Styela clava: one gene and its partner. The protein of the gene in region 1 purifies or fractionates together with the protein of each later gene. This does not show direct contact. Links are inferred from orthologs where the notes say so. Each region holds a gene or a part of one and is shown on either strand. Other genes may lie near its edges. The genes, in order: protein transport protein Sec31A-like and N-terminal kinase-like protein.

The links.
Region 2: the proteins of protein transport protein Sec31A-like (region 1) and N-terminal kinase-like protein purify together in Homo sapiens (affinity purification with mass spectrometry; 3 studies listed by BioGRID and IntAct, counting the BioPlex papers as one, with this or other methods). This does not show direct contact. The link is inferred for Styela clava from reciprocal best matches to the Homo sapiens genes SEC31A and SCYL1.

What each region holds. Positions count from the first base shown.
Region 1 is NC_135260.1:9,046,579-9,050,514, reverse strand, and holds the start of protein transport protein Sec31A-like, read left to right. Parts: upstream 1-1,474; 5' UTR 1,475-1,611; coding exon 1,612-1,817; intron 1,818-2,371; coding exon 2,372-2,579; intron 2,580-3,936. UniProt on the Homo sapiens protein: Component of the coat protein complex II (COPII) which promotes the formation of transport vesicles from the endoplasmic reticulum (ER).
Region 2 is NC_135252.1:12,120,124-12,124,059, reverse strand, and holds the start of N-terminal kinase-like protein, read left to right. Parts: upstream 1-1,321; 5' UTR 1,322-1,409; coding exon 1,410-1,523; intron 1,524-1,912; coding exon 1,913-2,046; intron 2,047-2,161; coding exon 2,162-2,291; intron 2,292-2,788; coding exon 2,789-2,885; intron 2,886-3,220; coding exon 3,221-3,353; intron 3,354-3,834; coding exon 3,835-3,925; intron 3,926-3,936. UniProt on the Homo sapiens protein: Regulates COPI-mediated retrograde protein traffic at the interface between the Golgi apparatus and the endoplasmic reticulum. Involved in the maintenance of the Golgi apparatus morphology.

The DNA of each region.
Region 1 (3,936 bases):
ATTTTATAATGGAAAAATGGCATGACTATAAATTCATATTACAGTATTATGTTTAAAAATTATCGACTTTGTACTGATATTAAACTGTGAAAGGTCCATCTAACACCGGTGTCTTCTTTCATCTTTGCTAATTAAACGCGATGTCATGGACACAATGATTTTGGTATTCTTTCACGCCCGCGTCAATTGCGGAAATATTGTATCCTTGTTTCAATTGATATTATTGTTATCATTTTTTTTATTACTTATGTTGGTACAATATTTCATGCACGACTGGAATAAAGTATCTGAATCTATCAGCATTTTGTGATCAATTAAGTTGATTAACTGAGTTCTTTATTACTTATCGATCTTCAGATCGGTAAGTATGTTGATAGGTATTTGTCTGTTAGATGCACTCGATATCTCACGAAGGCGAGGTTGAATCTGCTCCAAATTTGTGCATTCATCATATCTCGGACCAGAAGCCTATTGATTTTAGATGAATTATGTCGTATAATTAGCGAGTTATTAATTAATTAGTGATGGGATACGCGGTGTCACTATGGAGTCATGATATAATATTTATGTATCACAATTTTCAACATTTTAACTATTGGGGACTATATTAACTACGTATATTTGATATTTGCTTCATTGGAAGAATTCATACTCACAATCCAATATGGTAATTGTTGAAAGATGTATGTGCCAATTTTTAGACAACACTATAATTTATGTCAAATTTACATATAGTATAGTATTAAAATAGTAAAATGAATCACGAAAAAGTTAAATTTTAAATATCTATCCATTGATAAAGAGGTCTCTCTCTGTCTATCATCTGCCTTGTTGCAATTTTAACATTGGGAGCCAGTGGAATGTAAATAACATTTGTTGTCTGCTATTGAGATGAGAACATAATTATTTAGTCTATTATTTCTTACTGCAAAGTGGTCTCAATTGCGTATATATGATTATTAATTTTTCGAAGTTTTATCTTCACTTTGTGGCGAATTTTGACTCCCCATAGCAGATAAATGTGTTTAATTACATGAAGGGTTACTTTTGATACGATTTGAAAAAAAGGGCATCATCTGTGAGAGCTATTCAACTACGTTAATTAAGTTGTATAGACAGTAGGACACAGTTCCCTGATTCCAAGATGTTTCGACATTTTATTCAATGAAACACACTCTATTTGTCTCTGAAACAAGGATGTATGCATCAGATTGCACCATGATTGTCTCAGTAATCATTCAAGTCAATCGCTGTCAATCTGTCATGTAATCAAAATTGCGTTTTTTTGCTAATAACTTAAATGCTGCGGTGACTTTTTTTTCTTTAATAAATTGGATCATTTTTTTCAAAGAATCCAATAGTGACGTTTTTTAATTGCAATTTCTTTTAGTTTATTACGCAGTGCAGGCTTGTCAATTTGTACTGATATAGAGCTTTTATTGACCAACTCAGTGTAGTACTAAAATATATTTAATGTCCAATTTTTATAATGGTATACTTGTTAGTTGCAGGATTACAATATCCTATTAAAATCAACTGTGGCCTATCCACACAACACAGCATAAATACCCTGTCTGTATAGATTTTGCTTCGGGATAGAAAATATCGAAAATGGTGAAAGTGAAGCAAGTAAATGTAACAGCAAATTATGCATGGAGTCCAGCAGAATTGCACCCAATACAGCTCGCAACTGCCACTGCTGCTCAACAGCTTGATGCAACATTCAGTACGTCTGCGAATTTGTCTCTGTATTCAGTAGATTTGGCAGATTCTTCTAAGGAATTAAAGCTTGCTGGACAAGTTGACATCCCCACCAGGTTCGTTTATATTTTACATTTGTCTTCACATCATTTAACAGTTATAATTTAACTTACCGTTAGTTTTATTTCAATATTGCCTATGGGATTCTAACTTTATAACTAACGTTATTTTTTGCATTAGATGTGTTTCTTGTTAAGTATGCTTCTTATTGGGTAATCGTTGGTCCAGAATGTTGACAATTACGCTAATTTGTTGCAATCGGTTTTACCTGATGTACAATATTACAATTTTATTATTACTTATCGATCTTAAGATCGGTGAGTATGTTGATAGGTATTTGTCTGTTTGTTTGTTTGTCTGTTAGATGTTCGCGATATCTTACGAAAGCGAGGTGGAATCTGCTCCAAATTTTGCATGTGCATTCATCATAGCTCGGATCAGAAGCCTATTGATTTTCGATGAATTATGTCATATAATTAGCGAGTTATTAATTAATTAGGGATGGGACACACGGTGTCACTATGGAGTAAGAGCGCTGTTTTGGGGGAACCCCTAACTTTCGATCGATAAGTCTTCGGTCTCTGACTGATATTCTCATTACTGTTTTAAGATTCTATAAAGTGATATGGGGAAACACTGGGTATGAATCATCAACTGGCGAGAGCAAAGGTCTCATCGTTTGTGGTGCTGATAACGGACTTATCAATATTTATGATCCAACCAAATTGATAGATAATACTGATAGTGAGGCTGCATTGGTAAATACCAACAACAAGCATACAGGACCAGTCAAAGCTTTGGACTTCAATCCATTTCAGGTTCATTTTTTTCAATTGCTGCTCCTTATAATAAATAATCTACTTAACAGAACAGTACTATTTTAGGCGAAAAGTTTCTAATGTTGTTTTCTTGGTAATAAGGTAACTTCTGTGAGCCTTGCCAGTTATTTTGGTATTAAACAATATATTTCATCAGGGCTATGAAGTTGTGAGTAAAAAATTCGATTCCATTGGAGTCTGGGATTTCAGACTTTTGATGGGGGTAAAAGAAGAATTTTTCAAATAAACTCAAAAGGCATAAGTTCGCTAAACCTTTTTAATGATAATTCGACAAAAGGCCTTCCGGAAGGTCTTTTGGCCTTCCGGGCGGCCCTTTCAATCAAATAGTTTTAAAACCTGATATTGTGTAATTCGATTTTGAATTTTCTTTAGCTTATGCCTTATGGTCAGGGATGGCCAATACCGAATAGTTCACTATTTCGAATACATTCGAAATTAATTTTTTCGAATATGAAATTTCGAATACTTCGAAAATAAAATCCACTAATTGAAGCTTATCTAAATGTATGTAGGAATTTCCATACAATAAGCAATGGAATAACTACTATCTACAAGTTACAACCTAGCTATATATATTACCAGGCATTTCATATTTGCAGATTATTGCAGTATATATTTTATATATATATATATACCATGAATCATGTTAACAGAATTAAATTAATACGGCAATAGTGGTATCGATGATGGATTTGAATATTTGCGCAACACAAAATCATCCTAGTAAAACGCCCATACTTTTAAATACCAACCATTGTCCAAATTATTTGCCAAAAAGCGGGATAAAGTATGAGTTATTTTTCCACTCGTGACAATTTTTTCGTGAGTACAAAAATACGAATCAAAAATTAATTATATTCGGGAACTTTACCACACATTTTAAGTCCGCAGATCGCCGTTGTATGTTTGATTGTTTGAGTAATAATACTGTTATTATTTTATAAATATGAAAATAGGAATCAAAAACTATTTATAATCGGGTAGTTTACCACACATTGTAAGTCCACAGATCGCCGTTGTATTTTGTAGATACGAAAATAGGAATCAAAAATTAATATTAATCGCGAGTTTGCCACACAATTTATGTCTACAGATTGTCGATACAACCATGAGTTACGTTGAACAAAATTAAATTAATACGGCATGACATTTTAAATGCTGGTACTAGTCATGGATTGGATTATTTTGCGCAACAAAAAATCATCCTGGTAAAGGATCGATACTTTTAACTATCGTTATCAAAATTATTTGCCGGCTATAAATACCGTATTTCCCGGCTAATAAGTCCACATGGCAAATAGGACGATGTCTATTTTTAGCACTCAAAAAGGGGGTT
Region 2 (3,936 bases), on another chromosome or scaffold:
GAAAATGCATTATTTGAAACTTCCGTCGTCCTATGTTTACATCTTTCGTTCGTTATTTTCGATACTTCAGATGAGTATAATAACACGTTAGTCATTTTAATCAGGAAATGCATACGTAAATATATCTGATGCAAACCGTTTCAAACCACAATGAAGTATTTTAACGGGCTTCTATCGAAGTCTTTGAAGTATTAATATTCTCGACGGATAGCTTTTTTTTATTCTGCGCGGTTATCTTTATAAATGATAATTTATATCAAACACACGGTAAATCCGATTGTAAAGTTTAATTTAAAATTCAACTTAATCTTGTAAACATGTAGGTCCCGTTTATTTGTTGGAGATTAAATTTATTTTTAATTTCGAGTGAATAAAATTCACCCAGGCCGTATTCAATAACTGTCATTTCGACTACTAATCATAAAATAATGGTTAAGTCAGTGCACTGTGCCATATGGACGTTGGAATTATCATAGTTCATTATATATTCGATATTTAACGTCATCGATTAAGTGTGATATGTATTTTCATTAATGTAATTTTGGCATATATTCATACATGACCGAACAAAATACAAAAATATTAGATTGAAACGCCGTCTTTATCTTAACGGAAATTGTCATATTGGCTCCGTTGTGTCTGGCGTCAAAATTCATTTCCGCGACGCAGTGTGACGTCGTGTCGAAGTGAGCGAAAAATAATCTACGTGAGGTTGACGTAATTTTTGACGCTGCGTGAAATCTTAATATTCTTACGGAATTTATAATTCAGAATTTTAGATTTAATTTAAATCTCGTACGACATCTTGCGATCACTCAAATAAATTATATACATTGTTGTCGCCCTCTACCGAATGATGGTATTTTAACGATGATGGCTTCAGTAGGAGCGACGCTCTGCACCGTTGAATGCCGGGCAGTCAATTTTCGGCAAAATTTCCGTTTTTTTACCAAAAAAATAATTATGCAACATTAAAAAAGATGAGAATAGATGTAGATATAACAGCGCAACCTATAATAATTAAAATTAGCAATATACGGCGCGTTTTAGCCAAGATATGGCCGTTCAAAAATTTTGTCCGAAGTTAGGAACTGTCCGAAGTTAGGCGCTTTTACGGTACCGTACTCAATTTGGGAATTTTTATGAAATTATAAAAATGGTGTGGCAAACAATTCTTATCTCTAATTACAATTCTTATTTTTATTCTAATTTCTTTTTTACTTATTTATTTTTTGTTCGTTTACTATAAAATTTATCTAAAGCTTTTTTTTTTTTAACTTTATTCAGTTATTACCCTATAGCCCTTTATTTATTCATTTTTTTCAGTTTTTAGAGCGGCTTAATTTGCTTGCAATTAGTCTTCTAGTAACTATTTTGATGCAAAGTTGATTGTTATTAAATTTTGAAATATGTGGTCGATATTTTCGAGAGATCCCACTAAAGACTTCGCATTTGAAGTTGGGGAAAAAATCTCTGGACTTGATGATCAAAGTATATGGACATTGCATAAGGGAACTCGTAAGGTATAGCTATTGTTTTGCTAATTTTCTTGTGCATAAAAATAGTATAATGCTTGAAAATTTCCCTTTTTCATTAGTTATACTTGTTTTCTATTATGTTTTGCTACATTGAGATTAGTACTTCCAAATCGAGGGTTTTAAAACAAAGGGGAGAAGTTAAAATTTTGAAAAAATTCTCATCAACAATTCCAAAAAAAGCTGCTTTTTGAGCTGATTTTCCAATCAGAGTTTGAAGCCATATTCACGAAATATTTCATTTAAAAGTTTATAAATGTTTGAAAGTCAAAAAGATTTTCTTCATGTACCGGTAGTTTAATGATGAGTTCTTAACATTCAATGTTAAAAAAAGATTTTGAATTTTAAAGATCTGTTTTGTTGATATTTTGTTTCAGGCAAACGGAGAATCTGTTTCTATATTTGCTTTTGATGTAGCAGAAAGCAATGATGCAGTGAGACAGGTTGCTTCATCATCAATAAAACGATTGAAGACTCTTCGACATCCTAATGTTCTTACATTTATCGACAGGTATTACTCTTATTTTCTTTATCCGATTTTTGTACAATATAGAAATGTTCTTTCAAGGTTCGTTGGCTTTCAACCATGAAATGAAATTTATTTATATATTTTTTATTCTTTTCAGCCTTGAAGCCCCAAAATGCATTTATATTGTTACCGAACCTGTGGTACCTTTGTTACAACATTTGAAGACAATGGAAACTAAAAATGCCACTCGTGATCTTGCAATATCTTGGGGTCTTCACCAGATTTCTGTAAGTACGGTATTTGTTTATGATGGTTTGATTATGAATTGGGAAGAAAACACAGATGCATGTCTGTATGACTACTGTAGTAATCAATTTTTTGGAAAATAATGAAGTTTGTTACAAAAAAATGAATCGTTTATTACAGCATTTTTCAAGAGGACCATATTTCATGACCACTAAAACTCCTTTCGAGAGAGTATAGTACAGGTTGACCCTGAAAAAAAAACAGAACCCGATATATTTTTTAATTTCTTCAATAAAAATAAAAAAATTTAATTTAAACTTCAACACTTGAACTTCTGTTTGTTTCAGTGATCTGGGACACTTTGCACAAAAGTATTCTTTTTTCTAAAAATATCTTCCCAATGATCTGGGTTATGTTTTTGGGTAACCTCGTACTGACTCTTAGTCACTTTTAATTATGTATCCTGTATGAAATACCGAAAAGAAATAGTTAAATAATTATGATTGATTAATTAACTGTTTTCCAAATTGTTCTACAGAAAGGTCTCAGTTTTCTGGTAAACACTGTAAATCTTATACACAACAATGTCTGCATGTCTTCCATATTTGTTGATCAAAGTGGAGAGTGGAAGTTAGGTGAGGAATGGATTGTTAGTGTGAAGGTTATTTTCAATTAGGATTTTTTCAAAATTTTTAGTCATGATTTATTTTAAATAAACTTTTTATTTCTGAATAATCAATTTAAGATGACGTGCAATACTTTTCCCTACTGGCAGCCGAAACTTATCATGTCAGATGAAGTTTTTAAAAACTTTTATTTTTGTGGAATAGGAATATTATAGTTTGTGTAATAATAAGTATTGTCTCACTCTCATGCAATTATACTTGTGTTTTCTGTTCATATATTCATACTCAGATACGTTTAAAGCAGTGAATGAATTACTTCTATGTCATTGTTATATGAATTTCAGGTGGAGTAGACTACATGTATCCAGCCTCAGGCGAAGGCAGCAATCTTCCGCCTTTCAAAACCTTACCTATGCTAGAAAAATATGATCCCCCTGAAAAATCTGCAAGAAATCGTAACAAAAAATCATCTAAGTGGTAAGTTTCGCAGTTCAATGAACTGGAATCTTAAAATTTGGATTGTAACATCAGGCCATAGTCTTTGATCATGCAATAAATGTGTGTGTTTTTTTAAGTTTTCGTAAGTCTCAAAATAATATTCTTGTTCGAAGTAATTTCAAAATATATTATTAGGCTTTCAATAACTCAATTATAATAAATCCTACATTATGGATTTGGAATACCTATCATAAAAAATGTTGCAAACAATTTGCTTATAAGATTGTAACCTTTTTGGGTTGAATTTACCATTATTTGTGTTTGACATATAATTTATCACGAGTTTTACTCGTGGATATAAATCATTTACATAAAACAAGTCTAATTAAAGTCCTGACTTGCTTATTTGTTTGAAAGTTAGAAATCTGTAGTTCAAGTACTAATTAGCAAGAGATATTGTGCACTTCAACATTTAATAAAAAATGATTCATTCTGTAATTTTTAACTTTTAATCTTACAGGTCTTCTGACATGTGGGGTTTAGGCTGTTTAATATGGGAAGTTTTTAATGGACCATTACCCAGAACTTCTTCACTCAAAGTTGTTGGGAAGGTTAGTGTCTT